Linked DNA regions of Neurospora crassa OR74A. The protein of the gene in region 3 interacts with the protein of the main gene of each other region in a pairwise test. Links are inferred from orthologs where the notes say so. Each region holds a gene or a part of one and is shown on either strand. Other genes may lie near its edges.

Region 1 (3,925 bases), on a different chromosome or scaffold from region 3:
AGGCCGAGGAGGAGCAGCAGTTGGCTGTCCACGTGGATGGTGTGGAGCTCCGGCAGCAGGAGACGGATGTCTCTGCTTTTGTGGAGGCGCTGCGGAAGAGAGGATTCCTCCTGCAGAGGGAGTATGGCCAGAAGGCGGTGGACATGGATAACAAAATGTTTGTCAAGATGCACTTTGTCAAGGCGATGCCGGCCATCAAGGGCAAGTGTGCGGACCTGAAGAAGGAGGCGCTCAAGACGACGCAGACGGATGCCAAGGGGCGGCCTATCAAGACGCCCAAGTTCATCGATGCCGACGAGGAGGCGTCCTTCAACGAGAACGCTCTTCTGAAGCCGTGTGTGTACAAGATCAGGTAGACGAACGGATGTGTGTGTGTGATTCAGTACGAATAGTCAGTTAATGGAAAGGCTTATGAACTACTTCCTCTTTGAACACACACTTCATCTTGACATTGATATGTAAGCTTGGTACGTACTCTGTCCTATGTAGTTGTATGCTACAGACCTTGTCAATACCGATCTGGTCCGTATGTTATACTACTACAAGTCCCATCGTATTTACAGCTCGATTGAACGGGTCCGATTAAACTGGTCAAGCAGCGAAGCATGGTTTTAAGAACGCTTCAATGGTTGTGGAGATCTTTTACTTGCTTGCCCATATGACTATAACATCGATACCATATCTTTACTGTCCATTCAACTCTTGACGTCCAAATAACATGGATTTGCGCCGCTTCCATCCGATCCACTAAAAGCAGATATATGCTCTCTATGTTCATGCCAACAACTCCCAACTTCCTTTAATTTATCAGAACCCCTCAAAGATCAAACTGGCCGCATACTCAACGTTCCCGTCCGTCGCCTCCAAAGCCCGAATCGCCTTTTGCTCATCAGCACCGAGTGCTACAAGCTGCTCAATATGCTCCCGGGGAAAAGACCGGGCTTGAGGCGCTCGAGGTGCGGGAGCGGAAGCGGAAGCGGGAGCGGGAGCGGGAGCAGAGGGACCTGGCTGTGCAGCAGTAGACGGACCAGCCTGACCCTGGCGATGCTGTGCAGTACCAGGTCCCGAAACCGCGCCGGTACGCTGGCCGATGGTCGTGCCGCCGGGACCCTCAATCGTAGGCTCATCCTGAAGCGCCTCCTCCGTCGCCTTCGGTATGTCCGCCTCACCCAAAAAGGGAATCTCCTCGCCCTGGATGACGAGCGCGTTCTTGGCCAGATCGATACAAGCCTGGTAACGTTTCAACATGTCCAAGCCGAGAAGCATATCCACATTCTTGCCCTCCATGACGGTGAAACTGCATGGCAGGAAGAGCGAGCCGATCTTAACAGGAGCCGTGTGCACACGACCAATGATTTTGGCAGTTCCGACGCCCTTGGCGATACCACCGTACCGCTTGTCGACCAGGCGCATGATACCACACGCCTCGGCAATGTCGGGACTCATGATCGTGGCTTGAGCTCCGGAGTCCACGAGGGCCTTGACCTTGGCCCCGTTTACCTCAACATCCAGATACAGCATGTGTACGGTACCGAATACTGCAAACAACAGCAAACGAAGTTAGCGGCAGCTTCCCGACCACAACAGGGTAACCCTCCGACTCTATGCTTTCACTTACCCTCAGGATTATGCTCCATAGCAGTCTGCAGGTTCTCGGTAACCCGCTCCTGGCGAATGATCTCCTCGATCCTCGCCTGCGCCTCCGGATTGAACGGATCCTCGTTCAACTGCTGGATTATCCGATGACGCTCCGCCCTTTCCCTCTGTTCCCTGTCGTACCTCTCCCGGAAGAGCTGCGCCCACCGTTGGGGGTCATTGATAGCGGCCGCCAAGTCGGGGGCTGTCCTCTCCACCTCGGCCCGCAGAGCCGGATTCGCCAGGAACTGCAGACGCAAAAACTCGGGATCTTGTTGAGGGGGCGCCGCTGGCCTTCCTTGCTGTGACTCGGGAACCGCCGTGGCCCGTTGTGTTTCGCGGACGTGGAGGGCCAGCATGTCGCCGTCGGTGACGTTGAGCTGGGTCAGGGTCTTGGAGTTGTCGGTGATCAGGTTGCCGTTGTGGTAGAGGTGTTGTGTGCTGGGGTGGTGGCTGGTTTCCGCCTGGATCGAGTTGCGCAGCGTTTCGAGCGTCATGTCGGGAAAGACTTGGAGGGAGAGGAAGTCTTGATCGTCTCCCGTCGTGTCCTGGATGGCGATGGTTATTTGCCTGTTAGAGACTCAAGTTAGCGACTATGGGAGTGACGACTTCAGTTCGTTGTCTTTTGTCATCAGCTTACATGGTGACGTCGTTCGTCCTAGGCGGGACAGCAAGAGCGCGGGAAGTAGATGTTGGAGAGATGGCGTCACCGGCCAAACCTAGAAGAGTGCCTGGATGAGGGAGTGGGGGGAGAAGAGAAAGTGTAAACGAGGAAGAAGCGGAATTCTAAAGCTGTTTACAAACGGAAAAAAGGCAAGAAGGCTGAGTAATTGTACAGTTCAAGATTCCAGAAAGTGAAGGGAGGCGGCCGGGCGGGTGGCAGTTATTGAGGGGCTCTGGGGCAGGCAGGCACGCGGGCGATCCAGTGGGTCCGGGGCAAGCCGTCCGCAGCTTTCTGGACTGTTTATGCAAGGATCCTGGACTGACTGTTGGTTGCAATTGACACGCTCCAGTTCGTGTTACAGCTACCACTGTAACCTGAAAATAGTAGCAGTTGACCGCGCCCTAGGTATACACTACAGTACAAGTCCAGAATCAACAGGTACTTACTTGGCCAAAGTAAAGATGTAGCTGCAATCGGACTGTCCAATTAGCAGCTCCATCGATGACATGAATGGAAGCTCCCCGTTGGTGGAGCTAAAACTGGACGGTACTTGTAAGGACTACCTACGTTGGCCCGGTGAAAGCATCGCGATCCGTCATGTATGTAAACAAATCCAGTTTCGATCGGGAGGACATGACAACGTCTTGCTTCTTCGTATTTGTTTCCTCGACAACTTCAAAAAAGTATCTCCGTACTCCGCTTCACTTGGGGAACTGAAGCCAACTGTCATGTGTTTTCCTCTTTGGGAACCATTTCTGGGTGACTTGTCTTCTTCCAGCATGCCAGGCTCTCCGCTTCCAGTAGTGGATGCTCGCGAATCTGCCGAAACGGCGTGAGGCTCAATTCGGAAGTTCCCACAGGAGAGTGGTTCCTAGTGACAGGTTCCTGGAGCTAAAACGGGACGGGCATACAAACCTTGATCGTCTTGTAAGTGCTATGCACGCTACGACACAGTGGTTTCTGCTTGTGATCCAATTTGGAACTGTCACGCTGTACCTGGCTCTTTTTGAACTGTTTACAGGAATTGCACAATGGAAGCTGTCGGAAGTACGTGGAGACTTCTCTGTTGAGGTGACAGGAATACCCAGGTTAGAATAAGCAGCTATGATTGTTTGATCTTGTGCTATCTATATAAGGATACTAGGTGAGCATTTTTGGGTACTTGTTTGTATGAATTCACGGACAAGCTCCCAAGTTGCATGATTCCTTTGAAGTTTCCATCTTATCAGATTGCGACAGTTGAAGTCAAGGTCTGTATCAAGTTGACTTCTAAGAAGCTCCTAAACAACCTAGGCAGAGTCCACCGGCCCTCCTCCGAGCTCCGATGTATACCTACCTTTAAACTAGAGGTATCCCGACAACCTGCCCCGATGACTCGCATACAAAGGCTTTTCCCACCCGTCCAGCCCCATCTGCCCTTCAGTCCACTTCGGTATCTGACAGCGTTCCGTGGCCGCCACGGCTTGTCAAGTCTCAAAAGTCCCCATGTTCATGCAGGCAGGTTGGCCCGTTTTGAGATGTCGTGCGCCAAAGCCGGTGTGAAGTCCAGTCCAGACTCCGGCTTACTTCCTTAAGCCGAATGTACATACCATTCATCGGGACTTTCATTGGGGCTGGACGTTCCGT
Region 2 (4,185 bases), on a different chromosome or scaffold from region 3:
TTTTTTTTTTTTTCTCAGGTTTTATCAACCTCAAGGACCCCAAACACCGAGTTGTACAATAGTACTAGTCCTTGCCACTTTTCTCTATTATAAGCACGTAACCATCTCTAGCGACACTCTGCTGCAGCACAGTATCAGTCACGCTGAATGACTTGGATCCAAGTCGCCATCATGATGCCTCGATCCTTGGCAAGTATTGGCGCATCTGGAACCAAGACGGGAACGGCGCGAGGGAGGATTTGATGTGACCGCCGCGTGCACCGGTTGGCCAGCACGGTTCGCTGCCATCATGATGTGGAGGGTGAGAGAAGGCAAATGGTCTCTCCCGGTCGACGCCGGTCTCAGGTCATCATGGACCGTGATGGATGACTGATCCTAGGTTCACCACCAGGGTGGCCGGGCTTCGGTGCCCTGCTTGGCTTGCCGGGTTGACAACCCCCACTCCATCAGCTGAGCTGATATCGCAGGGCTGCCTCACTTCTCATCAGAGGTATATATTGAGTATCACCATGTTGAACCGCGGCGGGTAAGAGGAAAGCACGGTGTAGCATGACTGCGACGGGTATAAAAACGGGTATACGTACGCACTTCAGGACGGTATGCGTAAAAAAATGATTGGTCATTCTCATGGTGGAATAGAGTTTCCTATGCCAAGCGACCGTCCTCTCTCTCATTCACCGAGACTCAACCTTGACTTCGAACCACAAAAATGGTGATCAGTGTTATTTCGGCTTGGAGAAGGCAAAAACTATCTCAGTCACACTGGAGGGGCAAGTTAAGGATCGCTCATATAAGAAGCCACCTGATACCTTAGCTCCCTAGGTAGCCGCCTGAAGAAGGGGTATGTAGCTGAACGACGGGCAGGCTCATGGAAATGAAACATGTGCAGTGTGACATGTGCAGTGCGCCCTCCCTTCAGTCCCATCTATACAGGCTGACGGGCAGTTGGAAAGCTTGAGTAGGAGAAATGAGAATGGGAACAGTAGAAGACAAAAGTAAAACTTGAAAGACGCAGTGCAGAGCGAGTCCTCTCTTATGCTGGATGACGAGCATCTGCAGGGAAAGGTGAGTATGCGTGCTGGTAGCAATCGTGACGGGACCGCGCCGGAGCATGACGAGGACTTTTTTGGAGTTTGGCGAGATTGGATACCACAACCCAGCACTGCACTGCAGCATGTGGAGTCGACGACGCAGCTGGAAGTGACATCATTTCAAAGGGCATCCATCTTCACCTTCAAAGCTCCCCTGCAAGTCTGGAGCCACGAGGTCACGTGTAACCCATCAAAGCACGAGCCTCTGCCGTTTATCGGTACGTACCTTATCCTGACATGGCGCTCTGATACCTAGTCTAGAGGCGGGAGCTGAGTCTTGGCATTGGGAGCCGGCCGGGTGTGTTGCGTTGACCTGAAGCTGCCTGTCTTCAGAAGGTCACCGAACGCCATCACCACCTCCACCCGGCCATTTCACCACCAGTAAACATCACCACCGCAACCCGCCACCACGATCGAGTGTCTGCGCATCGCAACACACAACTAATCTCGACGAGCAAGCGACGACCGAATACCGACCACGCACCCAAGGGCAAACCTATCCCACCTTACACAAAACAAACAATCACTAATCCCCCCCCGCGAGAGCTCCGTCTCTCCCCCACACGCCGTCACCATGGCGCTCGACAACTATTATCACAACAAGATCGAGGCCATGAAGCTCGAGATCCTCAAGGGCCAAGCCGTCCTCCGCCGTCTCGAAGCGCAACGAAATGACTACAACTCGCGTGTGCGCCTGCTCAGGGAAGAGCTCGGTCTGCTACAACAGCCCGGGTCCTATGTGGGTGAGGTCGTCAAGGTTATGAGCACAAAGAAGGTCCTCGTCAAGGTACACCCTGAGGGCAAATATGGTATGCGCACTCCGCCTCCTTCTGGAGTGTCCTGTTTTACGGATGGGTAAACAGATGGAAGTAACTGACCTATTGCCCCGCCGCCTACCAGTTGTCGATGTATCCGACAATGTCGACATCACCAAGCTCACCGTCGGCAAGCGCGTCACCCTTCTCTCAGACTCGTACAAGCTCGAAAAGATGCTTCCCTCCTCAGTAGACCCGCTCGTGTCCCTCATGATGGTCGAAAAGGTGCCCGACAGTACTTACGATATGATTGGTGGTTTGGACCAGCAAATCAAGGAGATCAAGGAGGTGATCGAGCTCGGCCTCAAGCACCCCGAGCTGTTCGAGTCGCTAGGTATCGCCCAACCAAAGGGTGTCCTGCTCTACGGCCCTCCCGGTACCGGCAAGACCCTGCTCGCCCGTGCCGTTGCCCACCACACCGACTGCAAGTTCATCCGTGTCTCGGGTTCCGAGCTCGTGCAAAAGTACATCGGCGAGGGTTCCCGCATGGTACGCGAGCTGTTCGTCATGGCGCGCGAGCACGCGCCCTCCATCATCTTTATGGACGAGATCGACTCCATCGGCTCTTCGCGTGTCGAGGGTTCGTCTGGCGGCGACTCCGAAGTCCAGCGCACCATGCTCGAGCTCCTCAACCAGCTTGACGGTTTCGAGCCCACCAAGAACATCAAGGTTATCATGGCCACCAACCGTCTCGACATTCTCGACCCCGCCCTCTTGCGCCCTGGCCGCATCGACCGCAAGATCGAGTTCCCTCCGCCGAGCGTCGAGGCCCGTGCCGACATTCTGCGCATTCACAGCCGCAAGATGAACCTGACGCGCGGCATCAACCTGACCAAGATCGCCGAGAAGATGAACGGGTGCTCGGGCGCCGAACTCAAGGGTGTCTGTACCGAGGCCGGCATGTACGCCCTCCGCGAGAGGCGCGTGCATGTCACACAGGAGGACTTTGAACTGGCCACGGCCAAGATTCTGAATAAGCATGATGATAAGGAGGTGTCGTTGGCCAAATTGTGGCGTTAAGTCTGCCCGGGGAGGGGAAAAGTGAAGGAAGAGTGGTGGTTTCATGCGTGCAACGATATGATACAGAATACAATAGTACTTTTATGGGAAAAGTAACTGACTCAGCTTTTTTTTACTTTCCTTGGTGCATCACTCTCAAGACTGCCTTTGTCGTCTGCATAGGCTGTCTGAAAGTGTATCGTTTTGTACATTCCAAGATTGAAAGCGGTCCTTGGCAACAACGGAGTATACCTACTCTCTCCTCTAGCGGAATCAACAGAATGGAGATGCAAACATTACCGTTGACTTTCAGACGTATCCTGGGCCCTGTTGCCGCCTTGACTCTGCACTAGGTCATTACCGGATTTCAGAACAACGGTCACACGAAGACGAATATCATGCCGAAACTGAGAGTAAATTGTGCATTGGAATGGCGTCGGTCTCTCGAATGTCAAATGGTTATTTGTAAGCTGCGTGGCCATCCGTGAGGAAGTGGCGAACCCTCATAGTATCTTGAACTACAGTTTCTGTCTTTCAGGGACAACTACAACCTGTAAAGCCGCGCCGGCACGAAAGACAAATACCGAGACGAAAGGATATTGTGCTCCAAGCTACTAACACAAAGTCCCAGCCAAACTCTCACGAAACCGCGCCATGCAAGAACTAACTTACAAACCACAGACCAAAACGAGACGCCTATTCACATGCAAGTTTTCAAGTACTCCAAACACCAGCAGCAGTAATACTTTGAGCGAAGTTCAGGTGATGGCAAATGGTTCATGGTAATGGTAACAATGGAAAACGACAGGAAAAGTGCAGAGAAGGGGGTACTGGGAAACTTGAGGTATACGTAGACAAACGTACGACAACGACAACAACAACAACAACACACACCCAAAAAAAAAAAAAAAAAAAAAAAAAAAGGCAACAACAACGTAACAAGATGATGACACGCTCTCCCACCAACCGGCCAGCCAACCCAAAAATATGCTAGTAGTAGTAATAGTGGTAGTAGTAGTAGTAGTAGCAGTAAAGGAAGACTTTGATCATCATGCCATCTTCATCTCTTCGTCCCTTACTTCCTCGGTTCATCCGTCCATCAGTCCTTTCTCTCTCTCACTCTCCTTCTGTCGCTGTGTGGTCCACCGCCGTGTTGTAAATGGAGACAACAACGGATCAAGAACCATATAATGTATCTATCCCATCCCTTCCATCCCGTTCCATATCCATTCCATTTCCCTTTCCGTGCCAAAATGCTCTTTTCTTTTCGATCTGTCTAT
Region 3 (4,006 bases):
GCTTTTACCATCAGGGATCAAATAGGTTTTATATACCCATCAACCGGAGGGGCACTTAGTTAGGTATGGAAATAGGGAAGGGAAAAACAAATGGAGACACACAAAAAAAAAGGGTTCTTGATCATACTACTTGTATGCGGACGGTTTCATGGTCTCGGATCTTATCTTCGTTTTCATTGCTGGTTATGGTTCGTGATGGGAATGCTTCGTTCACTCTTCAAGGGACAGGACTATAGAGTACATAAAGAATAGAGTGATTCGTAAGCTGTGAAAACACCACACCTCTGTAGTTATCCTTGATCTAGATCTCCGCGAAGCATTTTTTTCAGTGTCATCACCCCATTCACTCTTGATGCTTCCTTACTAAAACTCGTCGAAACCTGTCGCGCAGTGGATAGATCAGACACACAAAGCCCACCCGTATATTGCATGTGAACGTTGATCAGCAGTGTTGAGCATTTTGAGCTCCCTAAGGTATAATGTCATCATAAAGTCTCCAATGCATCCTAAGCAAGCCCAAACCATCCAGCCGTCGCCCACATTTCAAATGCAAAGGCAGCTGCTAACGAAAATCCACCCTGCCAACGACTTTTAACGCCCAGTTACGAAAAACCCAAAAATATCTCATTCCAGCCTACAGTCTCACCCCTATTTATTGTTGGGGCATGTCGTCATCTTCCTCCGGTCCTTGATCGAAAAGGAAGTTGGCGGCAAGCTCCTCGTCCTTGTCGCAAGCGAAGTAGGCCTGGATGGCCTGGTCCTGGGGAAAGCCCAGGCGGGTGAGACGCTCAATGGCATCGCGTTCCTCTTCTGTGACAGCAATACCGACAGAGCCACCCTCACCACCCTCGCCAAGGAGGTTCAGGAACTGATCCGAGTTCTGGGCGATCATCTGGGCAAGCTGAGGGTTGCCGGCACCGAGCTGTTGCAAGATAGGCTCCAGCATCTGGGGCTGCTCCTGTACAAGCTGACGCATTTGCTGGAATTGCGCGTTGTTGCGGAGGAAGTCGAGGTTACCAAGACCAGCGGCCTCGGCACCAGCACCCTCCGCACCACGAGCACCACGTCCGCCAGCGCTGTTGCCGAGCTGAGCGGCAAGGTCGAAAAGGTTGACTTGATCGTCATCATCACCACCGGCAGCAGCGGGGGAAGCCGCCTGAGCGGCAGCAGCAGGGGCAGCAGCCGGAGCGGCAGAAGGCTGGCGAGAGGCAGTTTGTTGCTGGAGGTTGGCGGGAATACCCTAAAGCTGTGTCAGTAAACCAGACATAGATCGGAAAGTGGAATGAGTTGTGAAACGTACGTTCAAGAGATACTCCACAGCGCGCTCGGGGTTGAAAAAGGCGGCACGCATAGCAGCGTCAATCTGCGAACGCTCGAAACCCATAGCCTCCATGTTGGCAATGGCCTCGGCGCGCTGCTCGCCCATGGCAAGGGCGTTGGCATCGCGAGCACCGGCAGCTGGGGCCGCCTCAGGAGCCGCAGCGGTTCTAGCGGGCGTCGGCGTCGAAGGGGCAGCGGCAGCAGCGCTGGAGGCCGCGGGAGCGGCAGGGGGAGCAGGTGTTGAGGCCGGGGCGGCGGCAGCGGGGGTAGCGGGGGCAGCGGCAGACGACGACGACTCGGCTGGCTTGGGGGCAGTGGTCTTGGGCTGCGCAAAGTGTCAGCTTCATCTTTGTACAAGGACGTGAGTAATAACGGGGGAAATAGTACCTTGTTCACGACGCAGACAACGAAGCCCTTCTCCTCGATCTTGTACGACTCGACGGTCTCCTCATCCTTCAAGATCTTACCTGTTGGGGTAAAGTCAGTATTCGGGAGCGGTATCCATCGTTTGAGAAGCAAGCGATGCTTACCGGAGTAGATAAGCTTCTGCAGCTCGGGAGCCCAGCCCCTCTCCTCGGAGATCTTCTGCTTGACCTTGGAAATCTGCAACCGGTTAGCTTCTAGCTCGCCAGCATCATGCACGTCTCCCGAAGCGACATGGGAGGCTCGCGACGCCGACAGAGCATTCGATTGTCGAGGGCTGTCACGGCGTGTTGGATGTCTCCATGACGTCGGCCTGAGGTAAAGGGTGTAAGGAAATGGGAGGCGACGAAGGGTAACCAACAGTCTCGGTAGGCTCGATCTCGAGCGTAAACTTTTGTTGTTTGAGGTCCTAGATGAACGAACAGTCATTGTTAGTATTTGACTATATAGACTTTGAGAGCTTATGGACAGAGGGAGCGAGCTCTGATCCAACCAGGCAGACAGGATTCAAAGAAGACGCTGGGTTGTTTCCGAATTTGCTGAGAAGCCATCGCGGTACGTCTGGCTCGTTGTCTGCCTGGCTGGCTGGCTGGCTGGCTACGTCAAACACTCGACATGGGCAAGCTTATGGGCACGTACCTTGAAAGTAACCTTCATGATGGGCAATCTGCGACGCAGCTAAACGGCTGCTACGTTGACACTGAGAGTCTGATGATGTAAGTAAAGTCTGTCCGGACGGGCGAGCTTCGTTGGGTTCCGAGTCGCGATGGGAGACAGCAAGATTTGTTGCAGTCGGCGGAGTTGGGCGAGGACGAGGAAAAAAAGTGGAAGTGGTTAGTTGGTTGCTGTGGTAAGGTTGATGTGTGTGGGAAGGCTGCCGCAGAGATGGCGAGGTGGCATACAGGGGAGGAGATAGTTGTAATCGCTGTGGCAAGAAATATGGAAGGTAGCAGGGAAGCTTGAACGTTTTACAGCGGCTTGTGATGACTGATGAGGCAGCTTTGAGGCGGAGAATTTGGGGTTTGTTCGCTTCACCTGAGTGCACTGAATGGAAGAGGGGCACAGCAGGCGGGTAGCCAGGTTCACGGTGTGCTACCTACGGCAGTGAATGGCTGGGGGGAAGCGGCAGGCAAAGTGCAGTGGACAGGCACAAGGCAGCGGCCATTGTTAGGCGGGGGGGGCTGCGCGGCATCTTGCCGCCTGGAGCTGGTGGAGAGGTCACAGTCGTCACGCTGCCATCCCGTCCGTCTGTACACACAACACAGACTGATTGATCCCATGGATCCATTCACTTTCCAGGTTGTGTTGGCCTTGTTGCGTTGAAAAACATGAATTGGTTTTCTTTGTTAGTCTTGCTTTTGAATGTCACTGAACTGATAACCACATGCTTCCGTTGGCGATGGAAGTTGATGCAAAATCAAAGGGGAATGTTTGATGTCATGCTGTGAGCCAATCCAAAGGACCCATCTTCTTTCATCTCTTTTTATTCTATTTGAATTTTTTTTGCGATGAAGAAGATGAAGTCATCGCTGATTATGGCAGTGTCACGGCAATACTAGGTAATAGATCTCCACTCATAAGCGCGTATAAAATGGGGCTGAAGAACACCTTCCATCTGTACCAATCATACGCATTGGTAGGCTCCCTTGGAAAGAGCACCAGATAAGATAAGGCCTCCGTCACGTTCGTGACCCGACGTGGATCGTGACATTGAATTGACTACGAGTAACCTTCCCTTCGGTTATCATCGCAAAAACGACGGAACGGTAGCATTGGGGTTACTTTTCAAGGCAGCAAACATGATTTGAGCCAGACATCGTTTTATTCTGGTTTCTCTCATCACCATTCCCAAGCTTCCAAGCTACCTACATCTCCATCGCAGTCATGGTCGGACGTCTAAGCATCATAGCTTAGATGGAAAATCACAGCTCAATGTCACCGCGCATATTTCGTGGGCACGATCTTTTGTTCTGACTTCTTCGGTTCTCATCCGCTACATCTTTCAGTCGTCCGTCTCGCGCATAGCGCAGAGAAGCATCTATCTGAATCCATCCATCATCTAGCCATCCTTCTATCCAACCATAGCCGAGCTTTTCTATACACAAATCCCACCTATCCAAGACCCATCTTTAGGTATGGAACTCAAGTCCAACGCCTCGCAATCAAAGGTATCATATTCACGTCCTCAAAACAAAATCCTCCTCCCCTCCCCCAAGATATGAAAAATACAAAGGAAAGAAGAAGGAAAGTAGAAGAAGAAGGA

The links.
Region 1: the proteins of rad23 (region 3) and NCU05292 interact in a two-hybrid assay, tested with the Saccharomyces cerevisiae proteins (2 studies listed by BioGRID). The link is inferred for Neurospora crassa OR74A from reciprocal best matches to the Saccharomyces cerevisiae genes RAD23 and DDI1.
Region 2: the proteins of rad23 (region 3) and NCU05363 interact in binary tests that used the Saccharomyces cerevisiae proteins (3 or more experiments, as listed by UniProt). The link is inferred for Neurospora crassa OR74A from reciprocal best matches to the Saccharomyces cerevisiae genes RAD23 and RPT6.

The regions. Positions count from the first base shown.
Region 1 is NC_026504.1:5,438,472-5,442,396, forward strand, and holds NCU05292 (DNA damage-inducible protein 1), read right to left. Parts: upstream 2,552-3,925; 5' UTR 2,278-2,551; coding exon 2,276-2,277; intron 2,206-2,275; coding exon 1,619-2,205; intron 1,539-1,618; coding exon 808-1,538; 3' UTR 552-807; downstream 1-551. Other genes in the region: NCU05293 (rRNA processing protein Rrp8), read left to right, coding at 1-356. UniProt on the Saccharomyces cerevisiae protein: Aspartic protease. Appears to act as negative regulator of constitutive exocytosis. May act at the level of secretory vesicle docking and fusion as a competitive inhibitor of SNARE assembly.
Region 2 is NC_026502.1:1,421,531-1,425,715, forward strand, and holds NCU05363 (26S protease regulatory subunit 8), read left to right. Parts: upstream 1-1,365; 5' UTR 1,366-1,665; coding exon 1,666-1,900; intron 1,901-1,991; coding exon 1,992-2,926; 3' UTR 2,927-3,695; downstream 3,696-4,185. UniProt on the Saccharomyces cerevisiae protein: The 26S proteasome is involved in the ATP-dependent degradation of ubiquitinated proteins. The regulatory (or ATPase) complex confers ATP dependency and substrate specificity to the 26S complex.
Region 3 is NC_026503.1:4,431,821-4,435,826, forward strand, and holds rad23 (rad23-like protein), read right to left. Parts: upstream 2,824-4,006; 5' UTR 2,401-2,823; coding exon 2,383-2,400; intron 2,153-2,382; coding exon 2,105-2,152; intron 1,924-2,104; coding exon 1,851-1,923; intron 1,788-1,850; coding exon 1,708-1,787; intron 1,646-1,707; coding exon 1,301-1,645; intron 1,241-1,300; coding exon 653-1,240; 3' UTR 153-652; downstream 1-152. UniProt on the Saccharomyces cerevisiae protein: Plays a central role both in proteasomal degradation of misfolded proteins and DNA repair.